Linked DNA regions of Callithrix jacchus. The protein of the gene in region 3 interacts with the protein of the main gene of each other region in a biochemical or structural test. Links are inferred from orthologs where the notes say so. Each region holds a gene or a part of one and is shown on either strand. Other genes may lie near its edges. The genes, in order: DLG1, SYNJ2BP, RALBP1 and DLG4.

The links.
Region 1: the proteins of RALBP1 (region 3) and DLG1 interact in a test that uses a peptide from one of them, tested with the Homo sapiens proteins (2 studies listed by IntAct, with this or other methods). The link is inferred for Callithrix jacchus from reciprocal best matches to the Homo sapiens genes RALBP1 and DLG1.
Region 2: the proteins of RALBP1 (region 3) and SYNJ2BP form a complex in vitro, tested with the Homo sapiens proteins (2 studies listed by BioGRID and IntAct, with this or other methods). The link is inferred for Callithrix jacchus from reciprocal best matches to the Homo sapiens genes RALBP1 and SYNJ2BP.
Region 4: the proteins of RALBP1 (region 3) and DLG4 interact in a biophysical measurement, tested with the Homo sapiens proteins (2 studies listed by IntAct, with this or other methods). The link is inferred for Callithrix jacchus from reciprocal best matches to the Homo sapiens genes RALBP1 and DLG4.

The regions. Positions count from the first base shown.
Region 1 is NC_133516.1:25,086,229-25,090,640, forward strand, and holds part of DLG1 (disks large homolog 1), read left to right. Parts: intron 1-674; coding exon 675-776; intron 777-1,053; coding exon 1,054-1,226; intron 1,227-4,412. UniProt on the Homo sapiens protein: Essential multidomain scaffolding protein required for normal development. Recruits channels, receptors and signaling molecules to discrete plasma membrane domains in polarized cells.
Region 2 is NC_133509.1:105,382,403-105,387,466, reverse strand, and holds the start of SYNJ2BP (synaptojanin-2-binding protein), read left to right. Parts: upstream 1-1,701; 5' UTR 1,702-1,806; coding exon 1,807-1,870; intron 1,871-5,064. UniProt on the Homo sapiens protein: Regulates endocytosis of activin type 2 receptor kinases through the Ral/RALBP1-dependent pathway and may be involved in suppression of activin-induced signal transduction.
Region 3 is NC_133514.1:53,472,862-53,477,818, forward strand, and holds the start of RALBP1 (ralA-binding protein 1), read right to left. Parts: upstream 3,299-4,957; 5' UTR 3,168-3,298; intron 2,833-3,167; exon of another isoform or gene 2,652-2,832; intron 1-2,651. UniProt on the Homo sapiens protein: Multifunctional protein that functions as a downstream effector of RALA and RALB. As a GTPase-activating protein/GAP can inactivate CDC42 and RAC1 by stimulating their GTPase activity.
Region 4 is NC_133506.1:73,685,805-73,690,216, forward strand, and holds part of DLG4 (disks large homolog 4), read right to left. Parts: intron 2,572-4,412; coding exon 2,276-2,571; intron 2,076-2,275; coding exon 1,973-2,075; intron 1,833-1,972; coding exon 1,718-1,832; intron 28-1,717; coding exon 1-27. UniProt on the Homo sapiens protein: Postsynaptic scaffolding protein that plays a critical role in synaptogenesis and synaptic plasticity by providing a platform for the postsynaptic clustering of crucial synaptic proteins.

The DNA.
Region 1 (4,412 bases), on a different chromosome or scaffold from region 3:
TGTTTTATTTCCTAAGCAATTTTTTTCAAGTGTTCTTGTTAACATCGCTATCTTCCAAATAACCCTTTTTTGAAAATCTTGGGAGCATCTTTGACCCTTCTCTGTTCCTCATGCTCCTCAGCTAATCAGGTTCCAGGCACTATTGTACTTCTTTCTTATTTATGACCTGCTCTTCGTCCCTTCTACCACAATGTTAGTTCTCGGCCTCACTCCCCATCTCCATTCTTCCAGCACGATCTTATGCAACCTAGAGTTTACACTTCTTTAGATCATCTTTCTAAAACACTACTGTGATTATATCACTTCCTACATCTAATTTCTCTTCTGCCCTTCTTTGCTCTGCTTCCTTACAATTTCTACTTCAAAACTGTCTGTAAAACACTATATGTTATTCTGTCATTTGCAATGTAAATAAACATAATCTGCTAAACTACCAAATTTAACTTTGAATTATCAAGTGTATGACTTCTAGCAGGAGACTGAGTAAACTTTAAGATCTTAGTCAAGATTATAAAACAGCAAATTAGGCATCTTTGGTTGACGGAAAAGGAAGATGGAGGAGGAAGAAAAAAATTCTTTGTAACAGTTACGGATATTTTTGTTCTCTGGTGAAATAAAATATATCAATATTTGTTAAATGTTTATTCCTTTTAACATGCAGTTTATCTTTATAGTTAATTATACTCGACCAGTGATCATATTGGGACCTATGAAAGACAGGATAAATGATGACTTGATCTCAGAATTTCCTGATAAATTTGGATCTTGTGTTCCTCGTGAGTAACCCAAACAAAAACATTTAATTATTTAATTATTAATTGTTATTCTTAACATTTCCTGTCACTATGTGTGGGAAAAATAAATATAACCTTTTTTTAATGGTTTCTACTTATTTTATCAGTTACTCTTTTATCCTCCATATTATTGTCCTTTCTCAGATTTAAATTAATTTGATCTGTTGAACTTTACAAAACAATGATAAAGTGGAAAATGGATTTATTGTGGGGTTTTTTTTAAATATTAAACACTTCCCCAAGTTTTCTTCTGTTAAAGATACAACTAGACCAAAGCGAGATTATGAAGTAGATGGAAGAGATTATCATTTTGTGACTTCAAGAGAGCAGATGGAAAAAGATATCCAAGAACATAAATTTATTGAAGCTGGTCAGTATAACAATCATCTATATGGAACAAGTGTTCAGTCTGTGCGAGAAGTAGCAGAAAAGGTAAGCATCAAACTAACCCCAGAATATAGCTTCTAATCAGATATGCCTTTGACAGAATGAAAGAGTGGTAGAGTAGATACAGCACTGATCAGTTTTATTAATGTAATGAATTTGTTTATCTAAATATTTAATTTTACGTGACCTAGGAAAGTGCATAGACAATAAAATAGGTAGACAAAGTGAGAGGAGAAGTTATCATTGTAAGGTCATTTGCTAGAGATAGACCAAGAAAGACAGGAAGGAAGGAAAAAAAGGAAAGAAAGACAGAGAAAGAGGGAGGGGGAAAGAGAGAAGAAAGAAAAAGGGAGGGAGGGAGGGAAAAGAAAAGAAATAAAGAATCTGACCACTTAATTTTTTTAAAACCGACCAGGCATGGTCGCTCACCCCTATGATCCCAACACTTTGGGAGGCCAAAGCAGACAGATCACCTGAGGTCAGGAGTTCAAGACCAGCCTGACCAACATGATGAAACCCCGTCTCTACTAAAAATACAAAAATTAGCCGAGCGTGGTGGCTCATGCCTGTAGTCCCAGCTACTCGAGAGGCTGAGGCAGGAGAATTGCTCGAACCCGGGAGGTGGAGGTTGCATTGAGCAGAGATCGCGCCAGTATACTCCACCCTGGGTGACAGAGCAAGACTCTGTCTCAAAAAAAAAATTTTTTTAACTTAATTTATGGCGAAAGAACTTTTCCAAAAACTACTGGAAAATACCATTAACAATGTCAAAAGGCAACTGACAGAGAAAAACCTTGCAAGAAAGGGGCTGATAGTCCCACTATGTAAAGACCTCATAAAAACAGGGAATAGAGGCCAGAAACCTAAGAGAAAAAAAATGGACAAAAGATGAGAATACATGGTTCACACAAAAATACAATATAAAAATGGCCTCTGTACAGAGGAAATGATGTCCAGCCATAGTCATTATTAAAGAAATGTAAATTGGCTGGGCATGGTGGCCCACGGGTAATACCAGCTCTTTGGGAGACCAGGACGGGTAGATCACCTGAGATTAGTAGTTCAAGAACAGCCTGGCCAACGTGGTGAAACCCCATCTCTACTAAAAATACAAAAATCAGCCAGATGTGGTGGTACACACCTGTAATTCAAGCTACTTGGGAGACTGAGGCAGGAGAATCACTTGAACCCAGTAGGCAGAGGTTGCAGTGATCCAAGACCACACCACTGCACTCCAGCCTGGGCAACAGAGAAAGACTCCATCTCAAAAAAAAAAAAAAAAAAAAAAGAAAGAAAGGTAAATTAAAATTACTCTAAATTCCATTTTTCCCCTATCCTACTGGGGGAGAAATATGAAGACATTTTCTTGGTGAGGCTGAGAGCAAACAGACAGTCGTGCATTGCTGGTGGAGATGCAAACTGGTGCTGCCTTTGGAAGGGTATTTGGCAATATCCAGCAGCTATCCTTCAGCCCAGCATTCCACGTCTAGGAATTTATTCCAGAGATACCCCCAACAGTATGAAAATACATGGGCAAAGGGGCATTTATTGTAGCATTGTTTATAATTGTGAGATACTGAAAACTATCTAAATGCCCAGATAAAAGAGTGATTGAACAATTAATTTTACATTCACAAAATGAAGTTCTCTAAAACTGTTAATAAAGAAGGTATCTGGGGCCGGGTGCGGTGGCTCAAGCCTGTAATCCCAGCACTTTGGGAGGCCGAGGCGGGTGGATCACGAGGTCAAGAGATCGAGACCATCCTGGTCAACATGGTGAAACCCCGTCTCTACTAAAAATACAAAAAATTAGCTGGGCATGGTGGCGCACGCCTGTAATCCCAGCTACTCGGGAGGCTGAGGCAGGAGAATTGCCAAAACCCAGGAGGCAGAGGTTGTGGTGAGCTGAGATTGAGCCATTGCACTCCAGCCTGGGTAATAAGAGCGAAACTCGTCTCAAAAAAAAAAAAAAAAAGAAGGTATCTGAACTGATAAAAGAAAATGGGAAAATAGATATCTCTACTCAGTTGTATGAAAACAAACACAGGAAAGGTAAATCAGAACTTGATGAGATTGGTTACCTACAGAGGGAAGTAGAAAGGATGGGGAATTTGGAATGGATTGGAAAGGATTAGGTACGACATTTCTCTGAGCATACATATTTGTATTATTTTAATTTTAGAAAATATGTTAATATTTTACATATTTTTAAAACTCAAAAATAAAATCAAAGAAAGATGGGGGAAAGCAAAATGATATACAAATAGAAACTAAATAAACCTGACTGTATTTCAGATGAATAACTTAACTACATTGAGAAGGAGAGAATTCTTAATCCCAGAGATTCTTTAACACAAGCTGAAAACAGAAAGATCTGTAAACAAAATCAAACTCTAATTAGTAGGTTTGTTGTGTGCAGTGTATGGGCTTGTAGTTCTGAAACTAATATATATTCTGGGGTTGATCAAGTAAACTAATATAGTGACAGTAGTGAAAGTGGGGCTTGCCTGTCAGAAAAAGGGAGAAGGTAAAATGAACTCTGTGATAATTGGATTGGAAATACTAGACGATTAGAGCTATGACTATGAACCCATGAATTGTAATAGAGTAGATAGAGAAATAGATGTGTATTTATATGTATAGACATATATGTTTATTTGCTCTATCCATTGAGAAGACCTAAAAGTAACACTCAATAAGCAATGAGAATATCTGTTGCCCAGATGTTGGCTTCTAAATATAATTCTTTATTTAAAAGATCTAGGACTCTTTAGATAAATGGCTGATTCTGGGGCCAGGACTGGAAAAGTTCAAGATGATCCTATAAAAACATTTGCTTCCTGAAAAATAAGGAAGCACTCAATGATGAGGATATATAAAAAGACACAGGAACCAAGCTGTAGAGTTCCCCACTGGCCAAGTCTGAGATAATTTGAATATCAGAATAAGTGATAATAAAGATTATAATACATAGAGTAAAATAAAAATTTTAGAGTCCATAATGACATAAACACAGATGGCCCCCAACTTAGCATGGTTCAACTTTACAGTGGTGTAAAAATGATGCATATTCAGTAGCAGCCATATTTGAAGTACTATACAACCATTCTGTTTTTCACTTGTAGTACAGTAGTCAGTGAATTACATGAAAAATTCAACACTTAATTATGAAACAGTTACGTTGGATGATTTTGTCCAACTGTAGGATAAGTGTTCTGAGCATGATTAAGG
Region 2 (5,064 bases), on a different chromosome or scaffold from region 3:
TGTCTTTTTTTTGTATTTTACTTTTTTTCATTTATCATTCTCTGCCTTTTATAATGATAATTTTATTCACTCACCCAACCAACATGTAAGGAACCATTATCAATCCCTTTTTAAGATGGGGAAACAGAGTTCAGAGATGTTGGGTTCCTTGCTCGAAGACAGACAAGTGTTAAGGGAATGGAATGGAAACTTGAGCTCAGGTCTTAAGGCATAATCTGTGTTCTTTCCACTGTTTAATCTTAACTTCTCTCAGAGGGAGCAAATAAGAGGCTTCCCTGCCAAATCTGCCCCCATCTCCTCCAGTGTTTCTGTGTGATAAACATGGTAGCTGCTGCTTTGGTGTTTTGTTGTTGTTGTTGTTGTTGTTTTTTGAGATGGGGTTTCACTTTTGCTGCCCAGGCTGGTGTGCAATGGCGGGTTCTTGGCTCACTGTAACCTCCACCTCTTGGGTTCAAGGATTTTCCTGCCTCGGCCTCCCAAGTAGCTGGGATTACAGGCCTGGACCGTCACATCCAGCTAATTTTTTGTATTTTTAGTAGAGACAGCGTTTCTCCATTTCAGTCAGCCTGGTCTTAAACTCCCGACCTCAGGTGACCCACCTGCCTTGGCCTCCCAAAGTGCCGCTTTGGTTTTTTACTCTGAATTTGAATGTCTTTATATTGGCCTTGCACTTTCTAGTACTCTAAGATCCCCACCAATCCCTGTGGTCCTGGCTCTTAAGGCTTTTGTGTTTTTGACCCCTTAAGTTTCATTCAAGTTCAGTTTCGAATGTCTCATTCCAAAGGTCAGAAAGACTGGGCTAAAGTCTAAGTCGTGCATTAACCTTATTGTAACGGTTAAAAAATTAAAAAGATTGAATTTTCCCAGTTGCCAAAAGGATGAGACATTCCCCCACACCATTTCTTAAAAACTTTTCTTGAGCAAATTGTGATTATAATCTGTGCGTGTGTGTGTGTGTGTGTGTGTGTGTGTGTGTGTCTTTTTAAAAGCTAAATACCCAGGTACAAATAAAAAAATAAAAAATAAATAAGCCTCTTGTCAGATAAAAACCAGGAATTTTTTCCTAAGGTCCCAGGAGCCAACTCCTTGAAATGTAGGTATCAAGATAGCGCCCCTGTGTTCCACACTGCAGGAGTTAATCTAAGCACCTTGCTCCAAGCTTTAAATACCTGTTTGTCACAGAGATAACGTTTTATTTTTCCTTTGGATAAAGGCAACTAGCCAACACAGACGGCCACTCCAAGGGTAAACTACCAAAAAATTGAATACGAAACTATGTCAACTCGTCTTCCACGAGTACATGCGTGTGCTTTGGCTACATAAAAGATGAGATTTTCGTCTCTCTTTGCAATCTTATTAGTGGATTGCCTGTGACACCATTCCAGTCTGGTTCGATGCTTACAGAATAATACAACTTTTTTTCCTTTTCTACATTTGTTTAGATTTTCTAGGACGGCAGATTTTATTTTCTTTTTATTTTTTCTCGACAATATCAATTTGTTTAGGTCCCTTACTTTTACTAGCCACCCCCTTCCCACCTGCTTTCAATGGCAAATTAGAATGGTGGCTTGCCCCTTGCTCACCTCTTGCTTGACTTTGGGAAGCGGTGAAAAACTGCAACCCGTGGGCAGTAAGAACCACGATTCCCAGCATTCCCAGCGCTCCGAGTCCTTTGAACTTCCTTTTCCGGGTCTCGAGGCTGCTGAAACCGAAAGTGCTGTGCTGTGGGCGCAGCGCCGAGATTGATTCACCTTCACCTGCAGAACTCCAGCTGACCCACGTAGGAAGCCAGGCAAGCTGTAAAACATGAACGGAAGAGTGGATTATTTGGTCACTGAAGAAGAAATCAATCTTACCAGAGGACCCTCAGGTATGTGCGGAACAGGTCATTATCGGATAGTAGGGGATTAGAGGAGGTAATTGCCGACACCTCTGCTGCTGAGCGGGATTCACCTGGCCTCGGGGCAGGCAGGCCCCAACCTAGAGGTTTCCTGCAAAGCTTTGGGGTGCTTAGAGAAAATATATTGAATTCCATCATTAGCCAGATACGGGTCTGAGGAATCCACCTCAAAATCCAGTCGGGTGGCCACAAATATATATAGTCAAAAAGGGGTTCTTTCTGCAAATCCTGCTAGAAAAGCCTTTTTTAAAGCCTGCTTTTTTTAGACAGCTTACCTTGGGCACCACATCCTTCCGTTGCCTGTTCTATCACTCCCCCTACGAGGGATCGTTTAGTAAATTGGGAGCATAAACGGTGTGAACTCTGAATGCATAGCCGTTTTCCTCCAGCTGGGAACCCTTCCTCGCTCCTTTCGTTTCTGGGAAATTCATTTAGAGCGTCAACTAGAATGTTAAATCACGAAGAGCCCTTAGAAATCTTTTATTTACACAGTTTCCCTAACTTGGTTCTGCCACCAAATTACCCAGGGCTTTTTGGTTTTGCCTTTTATTTAAAAAATAAAAAAAGTTTAATTCCTGTGTCATTTGCAGGGATTTGGATTCAAAATGGGTGTGTCTGTGTGTATGTGTGTGTGTGTGTGTGTGAGTGTGTGTGTGTATATATATATATATATATATATATATTTTTTTTTTTTTTGTAATGAACACCTCATGTGATTTTGAGTAGCCAAACTGCTATCCTCTTCCTCCACTGAGGCTCTTCATTAAACCCGGCTCTTGACGTTACTGCGTTCTGCCTTCTATGGACTTTGTTGACTTTCCTTTACAGCTGTTTAGTTCATTGGTTAAAAGCTTTAGCTTTGGAATTACAGTATCTGGGTCCAAATCTTCTAACCTCTTACTGGTTCTTTGGTACTTATTGGCTATCTTAAGTGATGTAAGCCTTAGTTTACCATTTCTAAAATGGGGATGGTTGTAAATACACTTCGTAATGTTGTGAGAATGATGGAAAATGTTTACAACATTGCCAGACCCATGGTAGGCAGTGTCTCCTATTGTTATTGTTAATGGATGAATGGCTTAACTGACACAGTAAATTCTAATATTGTATTCCAAGAGTCTTTAATAAATCATCAAGTACTATGAGCTTCATTTCTGAAATGTTCCTGAAATTATTTCACTGCTATTTCCATTGCCACTACGTAAGGCAGTGCATCACCTTTTCTCATCTGCAGTTCTGCAGTAGCCTAATCATCATGGATAGATTATTCTTTATAAAATAGGACTTTCAGAATTACCCATACGTTGTGTCTTCTCTTCTTTTCTTTTCTTTTTTTTCTTTTTTGAGACAGGATCTCACTCTGTTGCCCAGGCTGGAGTGTAGTGGCACGATCCGAACTCACTGCAGCCTCTCCCTCCCAGGCTCAAGCAATCCTCCCATCTCAGCCTTTTGCGTAACTGGTACCACAGGTATACACTGCCATGTCTGGCTAATTTTTTTGCATTTTTAATAGAGACGATGTTTCGCTATGTTGCCCAGGCTGGTTTCGAACTCCTGAGTTCAAATGATCCACCCACCTCAGCCTCCCAAAGTGCTGGGATTATAGATGTGAGCCACTGCACCTGGCCTTCCTTTCTATTATAAAAAATTGGAAGTTGGTTTTACTTATTGGAATATAACTCATCACTAATATCATTATTATTATTTGTTTTTAGAGACGAAGTCTCACTTTGTTGCCCAGCATGGTCTTGAACTCCTGGACTCAGGCAGTCTTCCTGCCTTGGCCTCCTAAAGTGCTGGAATTACAGTCGTGAGCCACCACGCCTGGCTTGTCGCTAATCTTAATGGGTTAATGTCATGCTCCATTTGTGGACCGAAATTTTAGTCAAAGGCTCATTTGGTATGCCCAAGTTTCTTGGATTCATTTTTTTGCTATTTTATATAAATTTCTCCTTCACTCACTGTTAATATTTATTGACTTTTGAGGTTAACATAGAAAGTTACTTTTAAACCAAAATCTGTTTTTCTGTACTTTTCATTCATTGATAATTTGTTTTCTTAGTACCATTTAAAACAATGCTAGTTCCTTTTCTGATTGCTGTGCAAGTAGTAAAGGCTCTAGTTGTTCTGCTCCTGTTTTGCCACTTTCTTCTTTAGCCTAAATATCTTCAGTTATTTTTTATTTTATTTTATTTTATTTTTTTGAGATGGAGTCTTGTTCTGTTGTCAGGCTGGAGCTCAGTGGTGCCATCTTGGCTTACTGCAACCTCTACCTCCCGGGTTCAAGTGATTCTTCTGCCTCAGCCTCCCGAGTTGCTGGGGCTACAGGCGCATGCCACCACACCCAGCTAAGTTTTGTATTTTTAATAGAGACGGGGTTTCACCATGTTGGCCAGGATGGTATCGATATCCTGACCTTGTGATCTGCCCGCCTTCGTCTCCCAAATTGCTGGGATTATAGGCGTGAGCCACCGTGCCCAGCTCTTCACTTATTTTATTACCTCTCGAGATGTTTGAGATTTGATTTTTGCCTTTTGTTTAAGAATTTAATGTACTTTGACATAGTCCTTTTGCTGTGGCATCCACAGTGTTTTCAGATCTCCTGTCTAAAGCAGAGCAGAACCCTGATACTATCTCTTGTTCTAAACATGAAATCTTCTTAAAATTTAGTATAATGTCACTTCATCTTTTTTGGCATTTACAGTCATAAATTTCCTAGTGTTAGTATTTTCCCAAAACATTGGCATTGGCATTAGGACAAGCTTCAAGGACTATTTAAAGGGAATAATTATATCTAGCTAATATATTTCACTAAAAATGGTTTGATTTCTGTATCATGTACATATTACAAATGAATGTATTTATTTACGCAGTGGCTTCCTAAATTTTCATAAGCATTTCCATGTCTTAATCATATAAGTCAGTGAACTTCCTGGGAGAGTAGAGCCACAAATTTAGGAATGAACTTGGGTGAAAACAGTCATTTGAAATTTGGTTGGTTCAGTTAACAAGGAAAGGTTTCAAGTTCATGTTTATCCCAGAACTGGTTTCCTAGTATGTGATACTCTTCTTTTGAGTATCTAATTCTTCTTTTGAGAGTCTAATTCAGCTTTTCTTCATGGTATCATCATGAAGATATATAGGGAAGAGACTGAGTCTCAAAA
Region 3 (4,957 bases):
GATGGAGTGCAATGAGTGCCATGGCATTTCTTCCTGAGTGACAGACTGAGACCTTCTCTCAAAAGAAATTTAAAAATTAAAAAATAAAATAAAAATCATATCCTGTCTCTTTTCTCATTAAAATACATAAACCCTATTATTATCTATAGGAAAAAATGGTAAGGTCCTTGGAATGGCATGCAATACTTTTGAAGATCTGTGCAACCTCATCTTCTGCTACTTACCACCACAACTAATGCTACAGCTACAGTAAACAAATTTCCATTCTCAAAAGTGTTCCATGTTCTTTCTTTTTTTTGTCTTTTTCTTTTTTCCTTTTTGTGGAGAACAGGGTCTCACTATATTGCTCAGGCAGGTCTCAAACTCCTGGGCTCAAGCTATCCTCCTGCCTCCACCTCCCTAAAGCTGGGAATACAGGTGTGAGCCGCTGCATCCAGTGTTCCATGTTCTTTCTCACCTATATGTCTCTGTCTACATTTCCCTCTCCAAGTTCCTTCCCCACCCCAGCCCCAGCCCCCTAATTTCTGCATCGGTCATGAGTAAGCCTGCTTTAAGCTTAAGGACATAAAGTATACAGTACCGAATATAGCGCCAGACATATAGCAGAGGGTTAAAAATGGGCTGAGTTGACTTAGGTTTTTTTCTTCGTCCTCTCAATGACTTCTATTTGCTTATAAGATAAAACTGCAATTACTTCGATGTCTGCAAGACTATCCACAATTTGCTCTGCCTGTCTCCCCAGTTTCAGGTCTTGCCACCACTCTGTATTATATTTGCTATTTTTGCAGATGCTACTCTGTAATTTTACACTCCCATGCTTTTTCTCACACTGCTCCTTCTACCTAAATGCCCATTCTTTCTATGCCTGTACACTTGTTATTTTCATCACCTTCTATATATATAGTTTTTCCTTACAGCTTCCCCCTTCTTCAGTTCTCCTTTTCTTCATTTTAAGAAACTGAACACTAACTCCTTAGAACATCTACTATACCCTCATCTGTTCTTCAATCAATACAAGCTTGTACTTGTTGACAATTAAAGAGAGAAGGTTCAACTACCCTAAAGGCAGGGACATTGCCTTATCTATCTTTAAGTCCTCTTGCCTGGTCACAATAGTTTCTACATAGCAATTCCTGTATTCTAAATAATCTGCATTTTTCCTCATTCCCTCTTACATATACTAAGTTTCTATAGGGATCTTCTTTCAAAACACAAAGCACATTCTTTTAGGTTACATTCTTGGCCCGATTTCTTCTTGCCAAGCAAACAACCATGTAACTATAACTGTACAAATTAAAGTTACTATGCACTTTCTGATACCATTTTCCATTCTAAATTAGGGGAGAAATTCATATTTTGAAGAGATAGCAAACTAAGTTGTATTACATTGTTTCAAGTTACCTTGTTTAAAGAGTTACTTCTCAAAAGCTACTGTTAACTAACCTACCCCACTCATCTACCAGATACTCTGAATGAAAAGTGAGAACCATTCTACTGACCTTCCAACCCTTATTACCACCACTCCAGCTTACAGTAATTATTCATTATCAGAAAGACAGAAAGGAGTTATCAAATCACCAAAATAACTCTAAAAACAGAAAGTGATCTTTCTTATTCACAGTCCCATTTATTCATTTAGAAGTGCTGCCTCTCTGAGCACCAAATCAAAACCTTATCACAAGTTCAGTATTTCGTGAATAACTGCCAAGTACGATGGAATGCTCCCCAAAGTATTGCAGCATTAGAACATGACCACTCTACTAAATAAAAAATCCAGCGAAAGCTTTTCTAACAAGGCTGGATGGTGCGCTAACTAAACGACCAAACGGCTGCACTTCCTGTACATGCACGTTCAAAATACCTCGAATTAACACTAGGGATCTTGAAGAACTGTACTAGGCCTTGCTCAAGAGGAAGAAGGCTATGTAACACTGAATCCCAAAACTTGAAACAGCAGGATTACTTCAGGGAAGTCGGAGGTGTGAAATAATTCTGTAAAACCTGTTTCACTCTCACAACGACCAGTTTTCTAAAAAGAGAGAGAAAGCTGACCTCAATTAAGAGCATTTTGGCAGAGACATGAGTTTTGAAAGAATTCTCAACTCCAGATCCGTCCCTTCATTCCAAATGAAACCTGAAGGAAGGACCGCAGCACCCAAGGGCGCTCACTGCTCAGTGACAGCGGAGAGCGACACCAGGAGCCTGTCCTGGTTTCCTGGGAAAACCCCAAAGCCCGGCCACTATGCCGGGCACGACCCACCAGCCGTGAGGGCTGGGTCCCCTGGTCTCCGTCCAGGCGTCCCCAAAAGCTCCCCCGAGGCCTGGAGACTCCGAGGGAGACTCAGCTACTAACTCTCCGCCCCCGGCCCCCGAGAGCACCACAAACGTGGATGCCGCGAAGGGAGGCCCTTCGGCCAGAGGGAGCGACGAACGGCCAGGAGGGCGAGAACTGGGACGAAGTCTTCCCGGGAGGAACCGACGCCGGGGGCAGCCACGCCCACCACCCCCAACTTCAAATTCCAGCGCGGCGAGCGCCGAGCCCCACACGCTGCCTGACAGACGAGGGCGCGAGGCCGGCGCCGGAGAGGGCTCCTCGGGCATGCCAGGGGCATCGCCGCGACCCTCGCACGCGACAGCTCCCTGTGACTAACCTGTACCTGCCGCCGCGCGACCGCCCGCCCCGCCGCAGCCGCCACCTCTTCGTGCTCACGCTGCTGCCGCAGCCACTGCAGCCGCCTCCTGCGCTGCGCCCCAGGCCGGCCTCGAGCGCCCCATTCCCACCCCGCCCAGCCTCCGCCTGTTTACAATGATTGGGACGGAACGAGACGAGCCGGTCCAGCGCGCACGCGCACTCCCTCCTCCCGCCGCAGCCGGCTTCCCGGGTCCTCCTCTCAGCTCTGACGGCTGAATCCGTCAAGGGCAGGCGCCCTGTGCCCTCGCGCGGGGTGCACTGGGAGGCGTAGTTCTTCAGACCCCGGCGTCCAGTCAGCCAGAAGGCCTCTCTCCAAGGAAGAAAACTACAACACCCAGGAGGCACCGCACCGCCTTCGTCCTGGCTCGTTGAGCTGACAGACTGAGGGAGAGCGCGAGAGAACGCGCCGAGCGCTAGTGCTCTGCAGGCGCCTGCGCAGTCGCTGGCCTTGCAGGACCCCAGGACGGACGCCTACCCCTGTGTATTGCTGGCGAGGGTGGTTTGCGGGCATCTCCTGCCACAGCCTTGAGGACAGAAAGAGCTTTCCTCTCCACGCTCTGGTCAGCCTGCGCCTCAGCTACCAAAGTTGAGAGCTTTCTTTGTGCCGGCGTGTTTCAGTCGTTCCAACCAGTTAAACCAGCCTGGGGGCCGTCCGGCCTGCCGCTGGGTGGGGCAGCTGCCCCGCCTTCGACTGGGTGTGGGGTTGGGGGAAGGAGCGTCTTAGGCCTGTAGGGAGAGACGGGAATAAAGCTCGGTCGGGAGCATCCACAGAATTTCTGAAGCGGGTGTTGGCTCCTGCGGGGACTTGGAATAGACGGCCCTTCCCTGTCACTCGCATTCCTACTTGCAGGACTCTCTGGAAAATCGTTGTCCAATAGATTGGCAGCTGCTATCCATCTTGCTCTCTTGCTCCCACACCGGCTTTTCTCAAAGCAGGCAGTAAATTTGTCCCTAGTACTCTGCGCTCCCTACCCATCAAAGTTCAACCTCAGGGGTCTTAACACAGGGGCCTTCCACGAGTGGATACGGGATAGTCTTTGGCTTTCGGGGCCACTCGCAGTAGAACAGTCTCCTCTGATCTCTGGGTTGGACAGGTAAGCATGGCAGTGATAATTTCCTGCCTGTGGCAGCACTGATTGGGCCGCAGAGGGGGAGCAGGGGGAGATTTTTGCTGAGGCAGTTGCTGATGGACATGTTTCCTGCATCATCAAGTGGCCTACCCAAAGATGAGGGTGTGATAGAGAAGAAATGAGAAATGGAAAGGGAGAAAGAGCTGGCAGAATGAAGACTGTGCTTTTATTTGTTTTTTTGCAGCTCTTTAAGTGCTGTGAGCATGTGAGCCTCAGTGGGTGAGCCCACTAATTCATTCATTATTTGGAGCCAATATGTGTGGATGTAGCATATATTTGTTGACTGCCTCTTGAGCATTTATTCCTCCCATTTTAGCCTCACCACCATTCCATCTAGCAACAGAGATGGTCACAAACCCAATCAGAAACAATGAACCCACAAAGACTTGGGCTGGGGCTTCTAGTAAACTGTAGCTCCTTGCTCCTCTAGTATGGTGTAAGTATATGACGTCTAGAAATATGGCAACCATTTTCCTCCTATAAGGAGAAACCCTAGAGAGATGAGAGTTTAGAGGGAAGGCAGCAGTAGAGCCTGAGGTTGAAGTCAGTACTGTCAAATGGGTGCGGGAAAGATGGAGAAGAACCTTGTGTTTGAGGCCTGGTTTGAGCTGCAGTAAACCTCACGTGTTTGATTCTATGTACTATCCTGTAGACTATTCTGGATTGTGTGCAAGGGCCATTTTACAGACTATCCAGAATTGTGAGCCACAAATTTCCTGTGTTGTTCAAGCCAGTTCATATTAAAATTCTAAAAGTTCTAACTAATTAAGTTGGATTTCTTTTACATGACACTGAAAGGTCCTATTATAGGTTCCTACATAAAAAAACTGTGGAAGGAATGTTCAGCTATGGCTGTGTGGCATAGTCAGCAATTCTCTGCACACAAAATCAGTATTAAACTGGACAAAATTGGCTAAAACAACCATTTCAGAGCACTGGAAATCAAATACAGAAAACAATTTGAGAAGCATTTATTCTTGAAAAACTGCTAGAACTTCTAGCAGAAATAGATGTCTGTGGCCTTCTGGCCTGAGGCTGCTTCTCTCCCACCCTGTTGCACCAGAACTGCAGTTTTGCCAGTGTGGGTAGGACTAGCCAAGAAAACTAGCAGCTTTGCTGCCAAAGGGAAGGACTC
Region 4 (4,412 bases), on a different chromosome or scaffold from region 3:
TTGGTCTTGTCGTAATCAAACAGGGCCCTGGGGGGCAAGTGGCTACTGGTCAGAGCCCGGCTGAGGACCCCAGGAAGGTTGCATCAGTCACCCTGAGACCCAGCCCAGAGATCTGTGGATGGCACTCCCATGGCCACAATGGGTGCTGAGTAACCCAAAACTGTGTGGGGACCAAACGCTGACTGTAATCGTAACCACCACAACTATTAACCATCATTCAGCCCACACTGAGTACAGTTTCCAGAGGGAGAGCTGGAACTCCACCCTCTCAAGAAAACAGTTTGCAGTACATGTGCGCATCATAAAGTCACAGGGGTAACCTTGAATCTGTCCAAATTAATAAGAAAAAGAAAGGTCCCGTGTCTGCAAATCATGGTTACCCTTACTAGTATCAAATCCCTATAAGTCACAACTCCTGGCATCAGAAACTAAAGAAGGAATGAAGATCCAGAGGAAAGCAATGGACCTGGAGAGGAGGGAAGAGACCCCAGGCCTCCTGAGAGTCTGACAACCAGAAGACATTCCCCCTGGGAGCCACCACACAATCTCTGTGGTTACTGGGAGTCAGAAGAACCTTGGGGACCAACTGGACCTGAGCACAGAGAAAGGGCAGAGCAAGGGCTCAGGTGTGAGCTGGCGTCTGGGTGGCCAGAGATGCCACTCAGCAAGAGGGAAACTGCTGATGCAGCAAGATGGAACAGGTCCACAGCAGGACGATGAGCTCAGCGGGGGACCTGTTGAGTATGGGACGCCTGTGGGACATCCCAGTAGAGATGGCCAGAAAGCAGATGGCCAGAAGTGCAGGTCTCGACCTCCGGAAAGAGTTCAGCCAGGGCCGACAGCTCCTAGAGACATCTGCAGATCGGGGCAAGAGACGAGGCCATGAGAGCCACAGGACCAGAGAGGGAGAGAAGAGGAGGCAGATGCGAGGGGGATCCGTGGGGGCAGGAGGGACCTAAGCCACAAAAGAGTCAATGGAGGCCTGAATCGGGGGGTTCACGCCTGTAATCCCAGCACTTCAAGAGGCCAAGGCGGGCAGATCACAAGGTTAGGAGATCGAGACCACTCTGGCTAACACGGTGAAACCCCGTCTCTAATAAAAATACAAAACAAAAAGCTGGGTGTGGTGGCGCGTGTCTGTAGTCCTAACTACTCAGGAGGCTGAGGTGGGAGAATCACTTGAACCCGGGAGGCAGAGGTTGCAGTGAGCCAAGATGGCACCACTGCACTCCAACCTGGGCAACAGGGGCTAGAGACTCCATCTCGAAAAAAAAAAAAGTCAAAGGAGAGGAGCCCTAAGAGGGGGTCAAAATCCCACTGGAGAGACAGGAGGCAGGCACAACAGAGCTTCGGCCCACCTCTCCAGGACTGCCCACAAGGACGTGAGGGCTGGGCAACACTCCAAATACCCTAGAGGACCGCTGTTCCCCCAAACATTAACCTTCGAAGGGCCAAATTGCGGGATGGTCTCGGAGCCCAGGGAAGTGCTGCAATGACCGGGGCTAGAAGGCAGTTGGGATACTTGGGGCAGAGGCGATTTTCCCATTGACAGGGAGTATTTCAAATGTTAATCTGTGCAACCAAGCCCATGAACCCCAGCTGCAGGTCAGGCCTGGGGTGAAAGCTAGAGCAGGCAGGGTGGAGAGGAGGAGCGGCCGAACACAGAGTGCCCAGGAACTCGGAGAGGCTGAGGAGCCCAGCCCAGGGAGCCTCTGACCTTATGTAGAAACCCCTCTTGGGGTTGCTCCGCAGGGAGGCCGTCCCTGAGCCCAGGCTGCTGTTCATGAGCTGCTCCCGAAGGTCATGGATCTTGGCCTCAAATCGGCTGTACTCTGAGGAAGGACAGGGAGGTTCTTGAGCTCTGTTCCCATCCTACTGCCACCCTCTCCACCCCCACGGAAGCCATCGGCTGAAGAGGCAGAGTCCTAAGGGCCATTTTAGCTCATAAGACAAGGAGTTTCCAGCCTGGTACCTTCTGGTTTATACTGAGCGATGATTGTGACCGTCTGACCCGCATTCTTCAGGGCAATGGCGGCCTGCTCATGGCTGGCATTGCGGAGGTCAACACCATTGACCTAGAGAGAGGAGAGGCTGTGTCACCAGAGACAGGAGCCAGCACCTCTGGGTCCAGGTGGAGCAGGGAGTGATCCCACAAGAGGACCAGGCTGCAGCTCACCCACACCCCTCCGCAAGAGCTCTGCGCTGTGCCCTGAAGAGAGGGAGTGGTGCAGCAATGGGGAGGGGATGGTGCAGGGAGGGGCAGGCCTTTCCTCACCGACAGGATCTGGTCCCCCTTCCGCAGCTCCCCACTGAGGTCTGCAGGGCCCCCAGCCAGAATAAAGGAGATGAAGATGCCTTCGCCGTCCTCGCCACCCACGATATTGAAGCCTAGGCCTGTGGAGCCCCGGTGGATCACGATTCGCCTCGGTTCTCGGGGAATGTCCTCCTCCCCGAGCAGGTCTTTGGCCACTGGGGAGTAGCGCCGAGGGGAAGTGGGGGTCATGGCTGTGGGGTAGTCGGTGCCCAGGTAGCTGCTGTGACTGATCTCATTGTCCAGGTGCTGGGAATAAGCTGAGGAAGACATGGGGTGGAGATGAAAGTGCCTGGAGGGAAACAGCACCTGCCACCCAACCTTCTCCCCAGGGGGGCCAAGGGAGCCACAGTTAGGTGGAACGGAGGTATTCTGCCAGAGACGCCAGGGTGAGGTGGAAGGGGATATCAGATCAGTGACGTCAGGGGTCAGGAATTTATAGGCGACATCAGAGGCTGATTGTCCTAGGGGATAAAGGATTTGAACATGATATGTCCTCAGTATGTCAGGGATGGGCAAGTCAAAGGGGAACATTAACACCATGCTTTGGGGTTTACTTTTGGTTCCTGTGTCTCTCAAATCTCTTGATCCATAAAATTCTTCTCCCTCTTTTTTCCCCCACTTGCCATCCATTTGTTGAAAAAACTAGGTCATTTATCTAAAAGAATTTCCCACATGCTATGAGGAAAACTTTTCTTTTTAGACAGAGTCACCCAGGCTGGAGTGCAGTGGTACGATCTCAGCTCATTGCAGCCTCTGCCTCCTGGGTTCAAGCAATGCTCATGCTTCAGCCTCCCAAGTAGCTGGGATTACAGGAGCACACCCAGCTAATTTTTGTATTTTTAGTAGAAACGGGGTTTCACCATGTTGGCCAGGCTGGTCTCGAACTCCTGACCTCAAATGATCCACCCGCCTCAGCCTCCCAAAGTGCTGGGATTATAGGCATCAGCCACCTCAACCAGCGTTTAGGGGAAAGTCTAACAGGGAAATTACTGCTTACTCTCCTGTGATGTGGTTTAGCCTCTGCCTCTGCCCCTGTATCTCCTGTAAACTGGCAGTTAATTCTGAGGCTTGATTAGTTTCAAGTTCAATTCAGAATTTTTTTTAGTAAGTCCTGTATACTTCATAGGTGGTGCTCTGTTCTTCCTACGGCATCACCACAGGATGAAATAATGTCTGGTTGTCATTCTGTCAGATAAGATTAATGGGAGGTTCGGGGTCTTCAGCCCATTCCATCCATTATAAAGTGCCCCATAAGCCTCTCAGGTAAGTTACAACCTGACAACCACCTCCTAGCTCTGGTGTGTACCAGGACCTTGGAAATAGTGATATTCTACTACGTTCTTTCTTTGGAACAGGGAGCATTTATTAGTGGGAATTCTTCTGTAAAAATAACAATCGAGGCCAGGCACAATGGCTCACGCCTGTAATCCCAGCACTCTGGAGACCAAGGCAGGCAGATCACTTGGGATCAAGGGTTTGAGAGCAGCCTGGCCAACATGGCGAAATCCCATCTCTACTAAACATACAAAAATTGGCTGGGCATCGCAGCTCATGTCTGTAATCTCAGGTACTCAGGAGGCTGAGGCAAGAAAATTGCTTGAACGCAGGAGGCGGAGGTTGCAATGAGCCAAGATTGTGCCACTGCACTCCAGCCTGGGCGACAGACCCAGACTCCCTCTCAAAAAAAAAAAATCCTCCAGCTTGGATAACATGGTGAAATCCTATCTCTACAAAATAAAAAGCTAGCTGAGCATGATAGCATTCACCTGTAATCCCAGCTACCCAGGAGGCTGAGGTGGGAGGATCGCTTGAGCCCAAGAGGTGGAAGTTGCAGTGAGCCAACATCGCACCACTGCACTCCAGCCTGCTGGGCGACAAAGCAAGATCTGCCTCCGAACAACAAAAGAACAGCCCCATGTCAACCTTTTGGCTACTCTCTGAGGTAGTCTGCACACGAAAGAAAGGATAAATTCATACCTCTCTCTGCATGTCTCTCTCCCTTTATTCACCAATTTCAGAATGAATGAGATCTCCTAGCATCCTCCAAAATATTTTTAAGTATTATTATGACCTTAAGGATTTTTTTTCTTTTGAGACA